Linked DNA regions of Callithrix jacchus. The protein of the gene in region 3 binds, or shares a complex with, the protein of the main gene of each other region. Links are inferred from orthologs where the notes say so. Each region holds a gene or a part of one and is shown on either strand. Other genes may lie near its edges.

The links. Proteins that work in one complex are often made in the same cells at the same time.
Region 1: the proteins of KL (region 3) and FGFR1 are in contact, whole or in part, in a cryo-EM structure (PDB 7YSH), measured with the Homo sapiens proteins. The link is inferred for Callithrix jacchus from reciprocal best matches to the Homo sapiens genes KL and FGFR1. Residues at the interface, in NP_004786.2 of Homo sapiens: Ser539, Gln540, Phe541, Asp543, Leu544, Asn545, Val546, Tyr547, Leu548, Trp549, Asp550, Val551, Lys555, Arg556, Leu557, Val560, Val563, Thr565, Lys566, Arg568, Tyr571, Val573, Ala576, Glu625, Arg628; in NP_075598.2 of Homo sapiens: Asn272, Gln288, Leu290, His292, Ile293, Asn296, Gly301, Pro302, Leu305, Pro306, Tyr307, Val308, Gln309, Ile310, Leu311, Lys312, Glu322, Leu326, His327, Leu328, Arg329, Asn330, Glu334, Asp335, Thr340, Leu342, Leu349, His351.
Region 2: the proteins of KL (region 3) and FGFR4 are in contact, whole or in part, in a cryo-EM structure (PDB 7YSW), measured with the Homo sapiens proteins. The link is inferred for Callithrix jacchus from reciprocal best matches to the Homo sapiens genes KL and FGFR4. Residues at the interface, in NP_004786.2 of Homo sapiens: Ser539, Gln540, Phe541, Thr542, Asp543, Asn545, Val546, Tyr547, Leu548, Trp549, Asp550, Val551, His553, Ser554, Lys555, Arg556, Leu557, Ile558, Val563, Thr565, Arg568, Tyr571, Val573, Ala576, Gln579, Pro580, Glu625, Arg628; in NP_001341913.1 of Homo sapiens: Asp266, Gln282, Leu284, His286, Ile287, Ile289, Gly295, Ala296, Asp297, Gly298, Phe299, Pro300, Tyr301, Val302, Gln303, Val304, Leu305, Lys306, Asn311, Ser312, Glu314, Leu318, Tyr319, Leu320, Arg321, Asn322, Asp327, Thr332, Leu334, Leu341.
Region 4: the proteins of KL (region 3) and FGFR3 are in contact, whole or in part, in a cryo-EM structure (PDB 7YSU), measured with the Homo sapiens proteins. The link is inferred for Callithrix jacchus from reciprocal best matches to the Homo sapiens genes KL and FGFR3. Residues at the interface, in NP_004786.2 of Homo sapiens: Ser539, Gln540, Phe541, Thr542, Asp543, Asn545, Val546, Tyr547, Leu548, Trp549, Asp550, Val551, Ser554, Lys555, Arg556, Leu557, Val563, Lys566, Arg568, Tyr571, Val573, Ala576, Pro580; in NP_000133.1 of Homo sapiens: Gln286, Leu288, His290, Val291, Val293, Gly299, Thr303, Pro304, Tyr305, Val306, Thr307, Val308, Leu309, Lys310, Glu320, Leu324, Ser325, Leu326, His327, Asn328, Val329, Glu332, Asp333, Thr338, Leu340, Phe347, His349.

What each region holds. Positions count from the first base shown.
Region 1 is NC_133514.1:39,242,386-39,246,809, forward strand, and holds part of FGFR1 (fibroblast growth factor receptor 1), read right to left. Parts: intron 4,260-4,424; coding exon of another isoform or gene 4,259-4,259; coding exon 4,114-4,258; intron 3,878-4,113; coding exon 3,756-3,877; intron 3,319-3,755; coding exon 3,208-3,318; intron 2,476-3,207; coding exon 2,285-2,475; intron 1,365-2,284; coding exon 1,242-1,364; intron 1,093-1,241; coding exon 1,022-1,092; intron 750-1,021; coding exon 612-749; intron 476-611; coding exon 370-475; intron 263-369; coding exon 86-262; 3' UTR 1-85. UniProt on the Homo sapiens protein: Tyrosine-protein kinase that acts as a cell-surface receptor for fibroblast growth factors and plays an essential role in the regulation of embryonic development, cell proliferation, differentiation and migration.
Region 2 is NC_133503.1:69,047,160-69,051,583, forward strand, and holds part of FGFR4 (fibroblast growth factor receptor 4), read right to left. Parts: coding exon 4,306-4,424; intron 1,864-4,305; coding exon 1,753-1,863; intron 1,668-1,752; coding exon 1,477-1,667; intron 1,129-1,476; coding exon 1,006-1,128; intron 898-1,005; coding exon 827-897; intron 584-826; coding exon 446-583; intron 91-445; coding exon 1-90. UniProt on the Homo sapiens protein: Tyrosine-protein kinase that acts as a cell-surface receptor for fibroblast growth factors and plays a role in the regulation of cell proliferation, differentiation and migration, and in regulation of lipid metabolism, bile acid biosynthesis, glucose uptake, vitamin D metabolism and phosphate homeostasis.
Region 3 is NC_133506.1:152,346,744-152,351,167, forward strand, and holds part of KL (klotho), read left to right. Parts: intron 1-1,438; coding exon 1,439-1,949; intron 1,950-2,724; coding exon 2,725-2,993; intron 2,994-4,424. UniProt on the Homo sapiens protein: May have weak glycosidase activity towards glucuronylated steroids. However, it lacks essential active site Glu residues at positions 239 and 872, suggesting it may be inactive as a glycosidase in vivo.
Region 4 is NC_133504.1:191,352,974-191,357,397, reverse strand, and holds part of FGFR3 (fibroblast growth factor receptor 3), read left to right. Parts: intron 1-3,148; coding exon 3,149-3,418; intron 3,419-3,666; coding exon 3,667-3,732; intron 3,733-4,424.

The DNA.
Region 1 (4,424 bases), on a different chromosome or scaffold from region 3:
GCCAGCAGGAAAGGGGACAGAGATGGACGGGCGGTGGGCCTGGCAGGGGCTGTGGGTGAGGATTACAGCTGATGGTGGGTGGCAGTCAGCGGCGTTTGAGTCCGCCATTGGCAAGCTGGGCTGGGTGTCGGGGCAGGCAGGGCTCCTCAGGCAGCGGCTCATGAGAAAAGACGGAATCCTCCCCTGAGGAGCACGTAGAGCTCCGGGTGTCAGGAAAGCTGGGGGAGTACTGGTCCAGGGGCATGGACAGGTCCAGGTATTCCTGTGAGGGGCGAGAGGAAGCAGCAATGGGCTCGGCCCCTCCTCCCTGCTCAGAGAGGTGCATGCGCGCAGTGGGGACAGCCTGAGCTCTGGCACAGGTAGCCTTACCTGGTTGGAGGTCAAGGCCACTATGCGGTCCAGATCTTCCACCAGCTGCTTGAAGGTGGGTCTCTGCGAGGGCACTGCATGCCAGCAGTCCCGCATCATCATGTACCTGGGGCAGAACTGTAAGGTCAGGGAGGAAAGGCTGCCTCCTGGAGATGGACACCCTTTAGTATAGCCCCCTGCCCCTCAAGCCCATTCTTGCCCCAGGGCCTGGCTTGGGGCCTCCGACATCTCCTCAGACTTACAGCTCGTTGGTGCAGTTACTGGGCTTGTCCATGCGGTGACCCTCCTTCAGCAGCTTGAAAAGCTCCTCCACAGGCACACCGGGGTATGGGGAGCCGCCCAGAGTGAAGATCTCCCACAGGAGCACCCCAAAAGACCACCTGCAGACAGATGCAGAGCTATGGGTGTTAGAGCTTCTCTGCCTCCCCTCCTCCAGCACAAATCCTCCACCCAGGGCAGTGCCAGGAGACAGCGTGGGGAACAGATCATCCTTTCAACATCTGGAGCAGAGGCAATGGCCACAATGTTTTGCTTTTCTCTTGGGGCGAAAGGACTCCTCTGTCCAGGGGGAATGCAGGACTCTGCAGTGGTGGAAGTTCTTTATCCTTTCTTTATCCCACACCTCCCTGGCAACTGCTTATTGCAAACTCACACATCACTCTGGTGGGTGTAGATCCGGTCAAACAATGCCTCGGGTGCCATCCACTTCACAGGCAGTCGGCCCTGCAAGCAGCACCGGGGAGGTTGGGGTGGCCCCAGGCTGGGCCGTGACACAGGTGGGAAGGGACTGGGGGTGGGTTTTCAAGCCATCCCACCCACCCTTCGCTTCTCAGATGAAACCACCAGCATGGGGCGGCCCTGTTGGCACTCACGTTGGTTGTCTTTTTATAGTAGTCGATGTGGTGAATGTCCCGTGCGAGGCCGAAGTCTGCAATCTTCATCACGTTGTCCTCTGTCACCAGGACGTTCCTGGCGGCCAGGTCTCGGTGTATGCACTGAGGAAGGAGGAAGGGAGAGCAGGGGGAGGGGAGGGAGGTGAGGGAGCTGGAAGGCTCTGGGGGCCACCACCTGTGCAACTGGCCGACTTGCCTCACAGACTTCTGCCTACACTATTCTGCCCCGAACCTTTGCTTTCCCTTCTAGAATGTTCTCTGCCAGCTCCAGGCTTCTCAATCATCACAGCAAGTGCTCCTCCCTTCCCTCCCCGAAGGCTGGCCCTTTATGCCTCTGCTTTGTCTGACACTGCGCAGGTTCCTAGGTCTTGCCTCCCAGCAAAGCAAGTCCACACTGAGCTGGGCTCAAATCAAGCTAGCGCTTACACACCAAACACTGCACTCAATGCTCATCGTTTCATTTTATCCTCATAACAATTCTACAACATAGGTATTATTATACTTTTTTTTCTCCGAGACATAGTCGTGCTCTGCTGCAGTGGTATGATCATGGCTCATGCAGCCTCAAACTCCTGGGATCAAGTCAGCCTCCCACCTCAGCCTCCGGAGTAGCTGGGACTACTGGCACACAGTACCACACCCAGCTAACTTTGAAATTTTTTTTTTAAAGACAGGGTCTCACTGTTGTTGTCCAACCTTGTCTCAAACTCCTGAGCTCAAGCAATCCTCCTGCCTTGGCACTGCACCCAGCTGATGTTATTCTTATTTTGTACTTGAAGAATTATAAGAGGCTACACAGAAAATGGCAGTGTACAGATCTGACCCTACAGCAGTCTGACCCCAAGGCCACTTGGCTACACTGGTTCTCCTGACTCTGGTTGCCAGAGAGCCTAAGACAACGCACAGGGCCCGTGCTCAATGCATCCACAACGCCACCACAAGATGACAAGTCACAGGCTGGAGGACTGGGAGGGCTCTGTTCCCACCCCAGCAATACCCAGGGGAGCTTTCAGGGTCCACACCTTCTTGGAGGCCAGATACTCCATGCCTCGGGCCACCTGATAGGCGCAGGACACCAGGTCCTTGGAGGAGAGCTGCTCCTCTGGGTTGTGGCTGGGGTTGTAGCAGTATTCCAGCCCCGGGGGCCTCCGGGCCTGCAGGTACTCCCGCAGGTTGCCTTTGGAGGCATACTCCACGATGACATACAAGGGACCTGCGGACATAGGAGGAAGAGGCCATGCAGCCGGCAGCAGGTGAGCATGTTTGGCATCACCTCATGGAAACCCCACCCCCAGCAGCACACCCCAGCCAACCTCCCCTCTCCTGCCTCCTTTTAGGGGACCTGGGAAATCCATTCTACCACCCTAAGAAAACCAGATAAATAGTTATTCCTGGCATAGTCCAGAAATTTCCCAAGCAATGTTGGGATAAGAGCCTGTTTATTTATTTTTGAGATGGAGTCTCGCTCTGTCACCCAGGCTGGAGTGCAGTGGTATAATTTTCGGCTCACTGCAACCTCCGCCTTACAGATTCAAGTGATTCTCCTGCCTCAGCCTCCCAAGTAGCTGGGATTACTGTCATGCACCATGCCGCCTGGCTAACTTGTATTTTTAGTAGAGATGGGATCTTGTTAGCCATGCTGGTCTCAAACTCCTGATCTCAAGTGATCCTCCCACCTCAGCTTCCCAAAGTGCTGTGATTACAGGCATGGCCACTGTACCCAGCCTGAGCACCCTAATTTAGACCATAATTACTCAGCTGTCTCTGTTAACACACCATGTGTGTGAATCTAGGTATCTGTATTCTTCGATGAACACATATGGGCTGAGCCCAGACCCCAAGAAACACATTTTAACCTCTGCCAAAGCAGCCTCTCAACCCCCTTCCCTAACAGCTCAGACCTTCTGCCTGCTGGGGAGGGAAGGCCAGCCTGGCCGGGACCCACCATCCTGCGTGCAGGCCCCCAGTAGGTTGATGATGTTCTTATGCTTCCCGATCATCTTCATCATCTCCATTTCTGAGATCAGGTCTGACAAGTCTTTCTCTGTTGCATCCGCTTTAAAGAACATGTTGAGACTCATTTACTTTTGGAAGGGAGGAGGGCAGGAGAAAGGCTAAGGTAGAGGGGTATGTTCCGAGGGGCCGCTTTTCTCTTGGACTTGATTCTCTCCTCCCCACTTCCACCTTCCCTCTCATGGGAGTTGTTGCAATAGGTGGTAGTGAGCGGGGAGGGATGTGGGGAGAAATGTCAGCAACTGATAGATCCAGGATAAAAACCTAACCATAGCCCAGGTTGATGCCAAGAAACAGAGTGAGGTCACAGAACAATCTCAGGGTGCAGAACACCCCCTCCACTCCCAGGTAACCCCAAGCAGGCAGGGGAGCAGGTGTGGGCAGCAAAAGCACCAGAGAAGCTGCTCTGCTGGGCCTGAGGCTTGCTGTTTGCTTGGAATGGGACAAGATTGTCTCTGCAAGGACAGAAGCATCACTTACACTTCAACATCTTCACAGCCACCTTGGTCACACGGCTGGGTTTGTCCTTGTCCAGTCCGATGGCCTCTGCCAATACCACCTGCCCAAAGCAGCCCTCTCCCAGGGGTTTTCCTAAGACCAGTCTTTCAGGGAAAACAGACAGCGGCATTAAGTTGGGGCTGGTGAAGTTCAAACTTTGAGAGGCACCCCATCTCCACTTCTGTATTTCACCCAACTTCGAGCAGAAAATGGAAATGAATGTTTCTGCAGGCATTTCACACACCTTCACTGCCCTGAAGGTGTTAGTATACACACCTTCTACCACTAGAATAGCAAGCAAAGGATGCCTTCAAAAAGTTAGGAGTTAAAGCATTGTTACCTGTCCCGAGGCAGCTCCCAGCGAGGGTCTTCGGGAAGCTCATACTCAGAGACCCCTGCTAGCATGGGAGTCCCACTGGAGGAGAGCCGTGATGGCCGAACCAGAAGAACCCCAGAGTTCATGGACGCACTGGAGTCAGCGGACACCTGCAAGGAAGAGTGGGGTCACCCTAGAGCAAGGAGCGGGGACAAGGGCGACTCCTTTCCATTCCTAGTCAGGGCTTCCCAACAATGGCAGAGGCACGTTTCTGTGTATCTCATGTTCTTTCAGCAATACAGAGTGGTCCGAAGACCACAGGAGGCCCAACTTCT
Region 2 (4,424 bases), on a different chromosome or scaffold from region 3:
AGCAAGACCTTGTCCAGTGCCTCCACCAGCTGCTTGAAGGTGGGCCTCTGGGAGGGTGCAGCGTGCCAGCACTCACGCATCAGCCCGTACCTAGGAGAGGTGGGGTGGAGGGTCACAGGGAGCCTCAGGCTTTGTGGGAGAAGGGGAGGACTGGGGAGTTGTCTGAGTGGGGAGTTTGATGAGGGATAGGCAGGGTCATCAGTGGAAGCCAGGCCAAGATGCTCCACTAGGAGGAGGGGGTGGAGGGAGGGGAGGAGGAAGAGAAGGGGGAAGAGAGAGGAAGGAGGAGGGGGAAGGAGGGGGGAGGAGGGAAGCGCGGAGGAGAAGGAGGAGAAAGAGGAGGAAGAGTAGTGCTGTCCTCCTGGCTGGGGCAAACCCTGAGGCCATGGTCAGGGCGAAGGAGGAGGATTGGAAAGTTGGCGGCAGGGGCAGGATAAGGCCTCACAGTTCTGGGGGGCAATGTGGGGGCCGGTCCATCCGATGTCCCTCACGCAGCAGTGAGAACAGCTCCTCCACTGGGATGCCAGGGTATGGGGAGCCCCCGAGGGTGAAGATCTCCCACAGCAGGATCCCAAAAGACCACCTGGAGACAGGGCCAGGGCTCAGTGGGGCTCAGCGTCCTCCCTACAACCAAGGTTAGGATGGAGGAACCCCACAGGTACAACCCACCACAGCTGGTGAGGAATGGACTCCCCCGAGGCTGGTCCCACTCGGGTCCCAGGCCAAATCTGAAGGAGCCCTTGAGCACCTGACTCCTGGGGCCATGTGACTGGGCAGTGTTTTGCCCTTTTTCTGGGGTAGGACAGTAACGGCTGGCAGGACTCACACGTCACTCTGGTGTGTGTACACTCGGTCAAACAAGGCCTCGGGCGCCATCCACTTAACAGGCAGGCGGCCCTGGAGAGGAGCGGAGGCCTCAGTACAGAGTCCCACAGGTCCCCAAGCCTGCCAGCCCCAGGCCCAGCCCTATCTCTACCCCCATCCAGTTCTGCCCATCTCCCTCACATTGCTGGTTTTCTTATAGTAGTCAATGTGGTGGACACCCCGGGCCAGCCCAAAGTCAGCAATCTTCATCACATTGTCCTCGGTCACCAGCACATTGCGGGCAGCCAGGTCCCGGTGGATACACTGCGGGGGAGGAAGAGTTTGCGTGCAACAGGACTCCTGGATGGGAGCTGAGCACACACCACCCACCAGCAGGCCTGGGGGAAGGGGCCCTCCACCCACTTTACAGATAGAGGTTGAGGTTTAGAAAGGGGGAGCACCCACTCCTGCATCCCTTCTCCCCTCTCCGAGCCTATGGGCGAGGCAAGTGTGAGGAACAAGTGGGGAATTTGGGAAGGTGTGAAAGCTTGGGGACATTGAGGTGGGGTAATGAAAAAGAGCAGAGAGGGAGAAGCTGGGGACATTTAATGCCACAGGCCTAAGAGTGGAGATGGAGAGATTGACAGAGGCCCAGAGCCCCACCGCCTATACCTTCCGAGACTCCAGATACTGCATGCCTCGGGCCACCTGGTAGGCGCAGGAGACCAGGACTGGGAAGGACAGTGGCCCCTCACTGCTTCGAGGACCGTCAGGGCTGAGGTCGGGGCCTGGGGGGCGCCGGGCCCGCAGGAACTCCCGCAGGTTTCCCTTGGCGGCGCACTCTACGATCACATACAGGGGCCCTACGGAGGGAGTGCACGGAGAGGCTGCCAAAGCTGTGGCTCTGAGCCCTAATGGCCCATGCCACCAGCCCCGCCTCTGCCCCACCTTCCTGGGTGCAGACACCCAGCAGGTTGATGATGTTCTTGTGTCGGCCAATCAGCTTCATCACCTCCATCTCTGAGACCAGGTCTGCCAAGTCCTTGTCAGAAGCATTGCCTGCAAAGGCAGCAGACGGGGTGAAGAAGCTGCCCTCCAACTACATGAGGGAGACTGCAGAGGCAGGGCCAGGACAAGGAGCACTGGACCTAGGGGTCACCTAGGCCACAATCCTTGCTAGGCTGTGTGGCCTTGAAAAAGTCTCCTAGCATCTCTGAATTTCAGGGTCGTCTTGTGGGAAATGGAGCAGTGGTTCACACCCTACCTGTCACAGCAGTTTCAAGGATGCCATTTTATCAAGGATATAAGAGGCAGGCCTAGGGCCGGGTGCAGTGGCTCACACCTGTAATCTCAGCACTTTGGGAGGCTGAGGCAGGTGGATCACGAGGTCAGGAGTTCGAGACCAGCCTGACCAACATGGTGAAACCCTGACCCTACTAAAAATAGAAAAATTAGCTGGGCATGGTGGTGCATGCCTGTAGCTACTCAGGAGGCTGAGGCAGGAGAATTGCTTGAACCCAGGAGGCAGAGGTTGCAGTGAGCTGAGATCATACCGCTGCACTCCAGCCTGGGGGACAGAGAGAGATTCCATCTCAAAAAAAAAAAGGCAGGTCCTCCAGTGGGCAGGTCCAGGAAACAGGAGAGAGGGAAGAGCTTGGAGCAGGAAGCAAGCTGCCTCTGGAGGGGCTGGCAGTAGTCTCTGCATGGGGTCAAAGTTCCTGCATGTGGAAAGCAGGTTGGCGCCCTGGGGTCTGTTTGACCAGGGCCTGGCATCCAACTGGCCTGGAATTCAGGAAGCTATTGGCAGGCAGGGTGTAGCCAGGGGAGCTTGGGAAGAAGGCTGCTCTGGCTTCTCTGGCTAGACCCTTGGGGCTGAACTGTGGCCCTGGGCCAATGACATAACACCCCCCACCCACACACGCCAATCTCACCATGCACATTTCTCAATCCCTGCCTCCCAGGGAACACCAGGTGGCCCCAGCTGTGTAGAGAGGAGGGGAGGAGCAGAAGAGGAGTTGAGGGCATTCTTGCAGAGGGGGCTGGGGAACTGGAACAAGAGGCCCTGATGGGCAGCATGCAAGACTGCTCTGCAAGAGCACCCTGGGGCTGGACTGGGTGCAAGCAGAAGGGCTGTCCTCCTACAGCAGTGGACGCAGGGGATACACCTAGAGAGGATCTAAGGGAAGCTAAGCGTGTGTCTGGGGGGAACCATGGAGAAGGAGGTAGAGGGCCTGTGAGGCTGACAAGGAGATGTGAAGTCAAGGCTGACACAGACCAATGCTGACAGGGGATATCAAGCCTGTCACACCAAATTCTTATCATCATCGCCACCCCAGTGGTGATTTATTGGGCCTTGACTGTAAGCCAGGCATTTTCCCCAATTCTTGAGCTGGGAGATAGGGACCATTATTTACTCTACATGACACGAGGGGAAACTGAGGGTCAGAAGTCACTTGCCAGGGTCAGGAGTGGAGTTGAATTGCAGGCTTAAGGGTGGGATCCTGCAGCCTCTCCCAGCTCCAAGGTTCACCTGGTAGCACCGTGAGCCCCAGTGCCATAGCACCGCCTCCAGGCTGTCACATTCACCTTTTATTTTTCTTTTCTCTCTCTTTTTTTTTTTTTTTTTTTGAGACGGAGTCTCCCTCTGTTGCCCGGGCTGGAGTGCAATGGCATGGTCTCAGCTCACTGCAACCTCTGCCTCCTGGGTTTAAGTGATTCTCCTGCCTCAGCCTCCAGAGTAGCTGGGATTACAGGTGACCACCACCACGCCTGGCTAATTTTTTTGTTTTTTTGAGACAGTCTCGCTCTGTCACCAGGTTGGAGTGCAGTGGCGTGATCTTGGGTCTCTACAACTTCTGCCTTCCAGGCTCAAATGATTCTACTGCATCAACCTCCCGAGTAGCTGAAACTACAGGTGTGTGCCACCATGCCCAGCTAATTTTTGTATATTTAGTAGAGACAGGATTTCATCATGTTGGCCAGGATGGTCTTGATCTCTTGACCTCATGATCCATCTGCCTCAGCCTCCCAAAGTGCTGGGATTACAGGCGTGAGCCACTGTGCCTGGCCTAAAATTTTTCTGTTTCTAGTAGAGATGTGCTGGTCTCAAACTCCTGACTTCGTGATCCGCCCGCCTCAGCCTCCAAAAATGCTGGAATTACAAAGACATGAGCCATTGCGTCTGGCCTATTTTTATTTATTTATTTTTAGAAAGGGTCTCACTCTGTTGCCCAGGGTGGAATACTGTGACTTGATCATGGCTCATTGCAACCTCCAACTCCTGGATTCAAAGGATCCTCCTGCCTCAGCCTTCCTAGCAGCTGGGACTAAAGGTACATACCGCTACACTCAGCTAATTTTCTTACTCTTTTTGTAGAGATGGAGTCTCACCATATTGCCCAGGCTACCTCAAACTCCTGGATTCAAGCAATCCTCCTCCTACCTTGGCCTCCCAAAGGGCTGACATTACAGGTGTGAGTCACTGCACCCAGCCACACTCACCTTTGAGCATCTTGACGGCCACAGTGCTGGCTTGGTCAGGTTGGGCAGGGTCCATGCCAAAGGCCTCTGCACATATTACCTGCCCAAAGCAGCCCTCGCCCAGGGGCTTCCCAAGCACC
Region 3 (4,424 bases):
TGAGGTTTCCTTTCAATAAAGAAGTGAGGGCTGGGGAGGTATGATCACAAAACTAGAAGAAGTGTGGCATGATTAAGTCTCTGGTTTCTTAGATCACGTGAGCAAGTGCCGCTATTCTTTGGATCAACATTTGATTCTCCATTTCCTTCTTGGAATATAGATAGTTGCTTCAGGTCGTGAAAAAATACATTCAGTGAAATGAAACAGTAGATGTTCACTAAAAAACTAAAAAGAAAAGTTAGCCATAAACTATCTTATTCCATTGAAATGTTTGGCTGAACACATAAGAATGTTGATGAGGCATTCTTGGATGCCTGTACTGAAATAAACCACAAGAGGAATATTTAGGATATGTTGAAGAGGCTATTTGGCTTAATGAACAAAGGAGTTTCTGCAGGACCAGGGAGTGGAATAAAATTGGCACGATCATTTTGGAGAATATATGGAGTCAAACAGAAAATCAGAATGGAGTTTTCAAAGAGGATATGTTAGGGAATAAAGGCTGATAAATAACACTTGTATTTGTAGGAAAATAGGGAGAGTGAATCAAGGAATTCAAAGGGAAAGAGAAACTCACTTCGAGTAGGGGAGAAAAAAACCCTATAATTTTCACTCTTCTTTGTAGGTAAAAAGAAAACAAATGAAAATAAGATATCAGATGTTAGTAAGAATTTACAGGAGTATAAAGTTGGTTTTATGGACGCAAAGCCCTTTTCATTGCTGTACGAAACTCTTGGCTGCATGCTAACTATGGACATCTGATCTCCTCACAGCTGTATTCTGCTGTTTTGTGCTCTTGGCTTGTACCTTGTACCCTAGGCCTGTGGGAAACCAGCACCGTCCCAGGGTTCTGGAGGGTAGGCCAAGGTTAGATACTGGAGTGGGTTATTTAATTTGTTGTGCTGATTCTTCTTAGGGAAGAATGAAGATTGCTTGTTAGAACTGTAGCTCTGAGAGATGACTATGAAATATTAAATTGACTCCAATAGCCTGAGTCATTTTGAAAACTCCCAAGCTCAGGATAAAAAATATAATCCTATTTAGAAATTCTTGATGTGATCACTGATGTGGCATTTCCACAAAACCTGTAAATTAAAAATTACATAATCCAAAGTCAGTTAAATAGTAAGATATTATAACAAATTCTTTTATTTCGTTAGTCTTTCAAACTGTGGGTAACTACACCCTCAACCCAGGGATTTTAAGTTTTTTCCACTGATGGCTAAAAACCAATGGAAGTAACTCTAGTCCTGGTAGCAGCTTACTGTGGGGTGACCTACCTTTGAAGTAATTTATTGATTCTAGCTGATTCTTACATTGTTAGTCATCAAGTTAGGCTTGATGAGAAATGTATATAAATTGAATTGGGGATTCAAGTATTATGTTGCATTTCTCCTCACAACTAGAGATAAATTTGCCATCATTTTTCCCTTCATAGGCTCATGCCAAAATCTGGCATCTCTACAATACTTCTTTCCGTCCCACTCAGGGAGGCCAGGTGTCCATTGCCCTAAGCTCTCACTGGATCATTCCTCAAAGTATGACCAACCACAACATCAAAGAATGTCAAAAATCTCTGGATTTTGTACTAGGCTGGTTTGCCAAACCCATATTTATCGATGGTGACTATCCCGAGAGCATGAAGAATAACCTTTCATCTCTTCTGCCTAATTTTACTGAATCTGAGAAAAAATTCGTCAATGGAACTGCTGACTTTTTTGCTCTTTCCTTTGGACCGACCTTGAGCTATCAACTTGTGGACCCTCACATGAAATTCCACCAATTGGAATCTCCCAGCCTGAGGCAACTGCTTTCCTGGATTGATCTTGAATATAATCATCCTCAAATATTTATTGTGGAAAATGGCTGGTTTGTCTCAGGGACCACCAAGAGAGATGATGCCAAATGTATGTATTACCTCAAAAAGTTCATCATGGAAACCTTGAAAGGTATGATTGTGGGTAAAGTTCTCATTTCCTGCCAAAATCTTAATCGTTTATGAAGATTATCTAATATAAACCATGTGAATTTATATTTTTAAATCCTAATGAAGACATGTATTTTGGCAATAGTAGGAATGCATTCATGTACCACCTTTCTCATTTGGAATCTTGAGGAACGTGAGTTAATTTTTAAACACCCACTTATAAATGAGAAATTGGGTTATAATATTTGTAATTACTTAACTTTCAGAGTTACTACTCTAGATTTTTAGATTAAATCAAACATAAAATAAATCCCAGGATATCTAGCTCTCTGCGCATGTTTTCCAGTTCTTGTTATTTTGGTTGAATAAAACACTCTTTAAAGAAGAAGGAATGTCCATGTTTCCTAAAGAAAATAGCAAAATAGCATAAATGGAGCATGCGTTTAAAGCCTTTGTTTATTTATGGTGTCAGGCACAATACTGGGTGTCTAGGATAGACGTCTTGGTACAAGATGTCTTTCCTAGGTTGTAGAACATCTATTATGTATAAGGAACTATTCCATCAAGGGGCTCAGGAATCCAAAAAACGTATTGGAGATAAACCTATTTTGAGGGCATTTATTTGTAGAGTTATATGGGTTTAATTAGAGTCTTTTGTCAAGAAGAAAAATCACTGATTTACCAAACAAGAAGCCTTACCTTTTATTTATTTAAGGAGAACGCTCAGATGCTCTTGAATCACGATGCAAGTGCCCAGCAAAGGGTCATGTTGCTCTTGTCCCCTCTTCCCTTTGCAGCCATCAAGCTGGATGGGGTGGATGTCATCGGGTACACTGCATGGTCACTCATGGATGGTTTTGAGTGGCACAGAGGTTACAGCATCAGGCGTGGACTCTTCTATGTCGATTTTCTAAGCCACAACAAGACGTCGTTGCCAAAGTCTTCAGCCTTATTCTACCAAAAGCTGATAGAGAAAAATGGCTTTCCTCCTTTACCTGAGAATCGACCCATAGAAGGGACATTTCCCTGTGACTTTGCTTGGGGAATTGTTGACAACTACATTCAAGTAAGTCAGCTGACAAAACCAATCAGCAGTGTCACCAAGCCCTGTCTCTAGTAAGTAGTGCTTCCTTCCTAGGCGGATTGTCATGACACACTGTCCACTTTTTGAGCCCAAAGCGATTCCTTATGAGCACAGTAGGGGCACAGTTTGGAATGCTGCACCCTTCTCTCCAAAAATCTTCCAGTCTTCATCTTGTTAAGTTAGATCCAAAGGGAAATCAATTTAAAACATGCAAATGTTTAAGATCCGACTAAGACAGTAAAAAGATAAAACACTCTTTTTTCATACTGTGGTTTTTGATCCTTTTTAAAGCAGTTGAATTTTTTCATGAACAGAATCTAACACAGAACTCCAAAGCCTCCGAATTTCAGTGGTGCTGCTGAAACTGTGGCAGGAACATTAGGGAGAGTCCTGCAGAGGCACAACTGTAGACCCCACACATGTGCAGAAATACCCCCAAAAACTAAACCCTGGATCCGATGATTCGCTCGTCAGAATGTCTTTTTTAGCAGTAGTCATTGAAATGGTATGAAATTTCTTCACAATGATCCACCAATATGTATTGAGCATCTACTCCTGTTGTAAGCCCTTAATAAAAGTCCCAAATTTTGAAGGGACGTGTTTTTCGGCATTTGATTGGATGCGCTAGTAAGCACTTACTGGATATCTAGTGTGTCCAAAGCCTTGTGTTAGTTGCTGGGGTCTCTTGGTTAAGGGGAGTGCAGTAGAGGGTACACTGAGAAGTGTAAGGGCAACCTTTGCTTTCAAAGGAGCAAAGGAGTCCAATGAGAAAAACTATGCATGCGCAAATGGTGCGATGGAGTGAATGCGGCATGGTGGTAAGTAACCGGGGTGGGGCTGGGGGATTGCTGCTGATAGAGTCCCAAGTGTGAAAATGGCCCTCAAGACAGAGACAGAGTTCAGTGTCCATAGACAAGCAGTTGGCTTTGGCATGTTGGGTTATGGTAGCCAGTTCGTTGGTTCTGCAAATCACAGCTTGAAAGGAAACACTTGGAAGGATGTAAAATGGGTTGCTGTTTTCTTGCAAATGTCAAATTGAAATTTTTTATTTACAAGGAAATAAATTAACACTATCCTTAATACATTTTTTGCTGTCTGGGATTCTTCTTCTTTTTTAGACCATCCAGTTCATTTTACAGGCAGTCTCAGACCTAAGCCCTCGCCTTCCATTTAAAAGATGACTGGATATGTCATCTTTTATGCTAGGATATGTGAGCCCAGGAGAAAGGCTTCTGAGCTCCCTCCTGCTCAGTGTATGATTTTCTGCCCTGCTCCATCTCTCTCCTTCTCCCACAGCCTCCTGCTATTTGGAATCTTCTTATCCTAATTTCCCTCCTCAGAGTGGATTCCACTGTGGGATTCAGAGAGGATCTGAGGTGGGAGAAGTGTGGCTGATGAGGAAGAAGAGGAGAA
Region 4 (4,424 bases), on a different chromosome or scaffold from region 3:
TGTTACAGTTGAGCTTGGGTGGGAGCCCAGGGGCTTGGTGTCTCCTGGAGGATGGGGGTCCAAAGTCGCCCTGTCTAGAAAGGCAGCAGCCCTGAGCTGAGTGATTTAGGAGTGAATGAGTGGGGAGTGGAGCCAGCTTTGGTGGAGTGTGGGGGTTAGCCTGGACCTCCAGGCTGCCAGCCCAGGCTCGGGTACCGTCTTGAAACTTCGGTTTCCCCACCTGTCCAAGAGAAGCCGTAGTGGCTGGCTGCTTGAAGGATTAGGCCTGAGAATCCTGGCGAGCTGTCATTAGCGTGCCCAGCTTCGGATCCCTGTTTTCCCGTCTTTATTGTGAAGCTGACAGGAATGTCTACAGGTAGACAGGAAGGGAGGCTGGACTCTTGCTTTTGGCTTCCAGGTTTTTCCAGGCACCTCATTCTCTTAGGCTATGTTATAGCCCTTACCTGGCAATACTTCTGTACCCCAGAGAGCTGCAGAGCGCTTCATGTGCATCCAAAACCAGAACGTGGGGTTCCCTGACCCCAGGCCCTCAGCTTACCCCAAAACCCAAGTAAACCCCTCGGGGTAGCCAGCTCTGGACTGGAGTCTGAATTTCATCCTTGCTCTCTGGGGCCAATCCAAGGGGCTTATGATGGAGCAGTGCTCCCCAACCCTCTCACCCGGGCTCCCCACATGCACTGGGCCTCCTCTGCAGTGCCCCAGAACCTGGAGAAAGGTTCCCCAGGCCGGAGTGTGACTGTCGCCAACACCGTGGCCTGATGGACATCAGTTCCGGGTCAAGGGGCCCTGGGCAGGGAGTGCCTGTCACCCCTCGCTCCTCCAGCCACTTAGCAGGGTGTGGCGGCCCCTGTGGTCTGTGAGGTGGGATTTTATATTGTGCCACAGTGGGGAAACTGAGGCACAGGACCATGCCCCCCCAGGTCCAGCACGGCCCTTTTGGGACACAGCAGAGGGCTGTTCCCAGCACGTGGGGCCCAGGTTGAGGTGGGCACTGTGTGGGTTTGTGATGTGTAGATGGGTGGGTGATGCGGGTTGTGGCCCCCTGCCCCGCCTTGGGTATGCAGGAGTTTTTTCTTGGGCGTGTGTGGGCACCAGTGCTTTTGTGGTGCCAGTGGGGTCCCCCTTTTGTTGGTCAAGAAAGAAATAACCCTTCTTGGGGCCACTGGGGGGATATAGTTGCCCCTTGCCTGGCAGCTGGATGGGGCATGGGGGCTCCACTCAACTGCTGACTCCCCAGGGAGAGTGAGGCCCTGAGCTCTTAGTGTCCCCCACCCCTGTTCCTGTCTCACAGTCTTTCACCTGGTGTTCCCCAGTCAGCCCCTGCTGGGGTGCCCTGGCCTCTGCTGGCACCAAGCAGGCAGGCGGGGGGCATTCAGGGCTCCACCCTCCCCCCTCCCCCGACACAGGCAGATGGCCACCAGCATGGCTGGCCTGGTGCTGCTGTGTCCCCCGTCCCCCGCTGGACCAGGCTGAAGCGAATACTTGTGCGGATGGCTTGACCTGTTGTCACCACCCAGACCAAACCGGAACCAGCAGGCTGTTGCCTTTGGGCCAGGGCCTGCAGCTGCGGCTGCCATGACCAGCCTGTTCCCGGCCTTCTGGGGAGCTTCAGACAGCTCCCAGCTCTGGGTGGTCCCCACAAGACACTGGCCAGGGCCAGAGGGCTGGAGGTCAGGCCAGGTGCCCCTCTGACTGTGGGGTCCTCACAGGGGCAGTCCAGGAGCTGTGGGTCCCTGTGGCGCGAGGGCTCCCTTGGATGCTTCCGGGGATGAGTGTGGCCCTTCCGGTTGATAGGGTCACTCTGGGTACTGGGGGCGTGCGGCTGGCTTCGGTGGATTGGGCAGAATTGGGCCTGGCCAGGCAGCCAGGGACTGGTGTGGCCAGCGTGGGCAGCTGGGCCCCCAAATCTAGGCCACGCATCTGCAGAATGACAAGTGATGGCGCAAGCGGCCCAGCTGGGTCTGAAGGAGGACGCTGCCTGGGGGACCAGCCGCCCCCGCCCCGGCCCCAAGCCCAGACCACCCGCCTGCATGCGTTATCTGGCCCTGGCAGGGGACCTAGGGGTGATGGTCCCCCAGCCCCACCTGTGGTGTGTCCTTGGGTCACAGGCTTTGGTGGCCCTCGGGAACTGGGTAGCTACTGGGCAGGGGGAGGGGGCCAGGGCCACCTGCACATCTGCCCCTGTGTGTGGGCCCCCACCCCAGCTTCTCAGCCCCCGGGGAGGGGCCGGGGCTGCTGCCCTGTGGCACCGCCTGTGTCTCTCACAGCTTCCTGTCCCCAGCCTGGTCCTCTCCTGTGAGGGCGTCCCACTCCCAGCCCCCAGCCCATGGACCCACTGGGCTGGCCCCGGCGTCGTGTTGTACTTTGCTTTTCTCTGTGTGTTTTCTGTGGTGGTCAGTGTGGAGCTTACCCAGGAGCTGTAGGATGCAGAACCCTATCCATGCCAGGGAGCCCCTGCCCCCGCCCCGCCACCTCGCACTGCTCCAGCCTGGCTCTGCCTGGTGAACCTGCCCGCTGCCCCCGGCTTCGTCCACTCAGCCGTCTGACCCTGCACCTCCTTTCTCGTCCGTTCTCTTCCCTTGTTGACATCTGAACTCCACCTCAGGCACATACAGGGTATGGGGGCTGCTGAGAGGGACCCCTCCTTGGGTGCATCTGCACTGCCAGGGGGCTGGCTGGCCACCCTGGCACCCCTTCTGAGCTTCATCTCAGCGGGGAGCCAGCAAAGGGCAGCCTGTCCCCTTTGTCCCCAGGACCTGTGGCCGTGGGGCCACCTGTGAGCCAAGCATGGATTTTATGTTTCAAAGCAGTTGAACAAATCAAAAGAATGAAGAGTTGCACTCTGTGGTGCTTTGAGATTCGAATTCCCCGTGTCCAAAAGTGAAGCTTTGTGGAGGCGCGGCCCTGGGTTGGCTGCAGCTTGTGTGGGCACAGCGGCTACCACACCAAGGCAGACCCAAGTCCTTGGCACAGAGACCGGCTGGCAAAGCTGAAGATGGAGACCTCTGGCCCTTTTGGGGCTCAGCTCCAGCCCCTGGTCTGGTGGGACCCCAGATCTGGGTCAGGGCCACTGAGGCCTCCACTACTGTGTCTATAAATGTGCCGGGTTTGGGGGTACCTGCCTCATGGTCACGGGTCTCGCCTGCAGAGGTCCCAGGCCTGGAGCCCGGCCAGCAGGAGCAGTTGGTCTTCGGCAGCGGGGACGCGGTGGAGCTGAGCTGTCCCCCGCCCAGAGGTGGTCCTGTGGGGCCCACGGTCTGGGTCAAGGATGGCGCAGGGCTGGTGCCCTCGGACCGCATCCTGGTGGGGCCCCAGCGCCTGCTGGTGCTGAACGCCTCACAGGAGGACTCTGGGGCCTACAGCTGCCAGCAGCGCCTCACACAGAACGTGCTGTGCCGCTTCAGCGTGCGGGTGGCAGGTGAGCTTTGGGCCAGCCAGCTGCAGAAGGGAGTGGGTGCTGGGCTCCCTGAGTCCCCACGAGGGCCAAGAGCCGCTGGGTGTCTCGGCCACGGGGCTGCAGCACCCCTGCCCCAAGGGTCATTGGTGGAGAGGAAGGCACCCCCAGGAAGTGCTGCCCGAATGGGGGACCCTGTCTCACCTGGGAGGGGCACCTGGGGGCCTCCTGGGGCAGGTCGGGCACTGGAAGCAGCTGTCTCTGCCTTGTAGACGTTCCATCTTCAGGAGATGATGAAGACGGAGAGGATGAGGCTGAGGACACAGGTGCGGACACAGGTGGGAGCAGGGTCGGGTTCAGGCTGGCCAGGGTGGGGCCTGCTGCCACCACTAAGCCCTGCCCTCCACAAGCAGCTGAGGGACCGAGGTCCCTGGGGTCACCCCGAAGGTCAGGTCTCCTCAGGATGCAGGAGGGGCTGGGCCACTGAGATGGCTCTGGACGCCCAGCCCTGGCTCCCTGGTGGCAGGGCTGGGGTGTGAAGGGATACCCGTGTTGCTGATAGGGAGACAGGCACAGGGCCCTGGGGGTTCCAGGAGCTGGAGGAGGCCAGGACTGGCCTGTGGGGCTCTGGTGCTGGCTGTGGGTGAGACAGATGCTGCGGGTGTGAGCGCAGCAGGGCAGGGCACTCACTCAGGTGGTGGCACTCACCATGGGGTGGATGGGCCCAGGTTGAGGGCACAAGGGGCACCTGGCCACAACCAGTGGCGGGGAGGGTGGGCTGCGGCTGTGGGAGCGCAGTCAGGGACACTGCCCGGTGTTCCGGCCTGGAATGGTAGAGGGGAACTTTGCCCACTTGGAGGGCGGGGAGTGGGGCTTCTGATTTGGGAGGAAGCTTGAGGTGAGTGTGTGCAGGGGGGCATCATTGTGGCACAGACACAATGTGTGGGGGGGCAGTTACGACAGGACTGGTGGTGTGTGGGCTGGGTCCCTGGGCCAGCGGAGTGAGCGGGTGAGGAGGGGAGGCTGAATC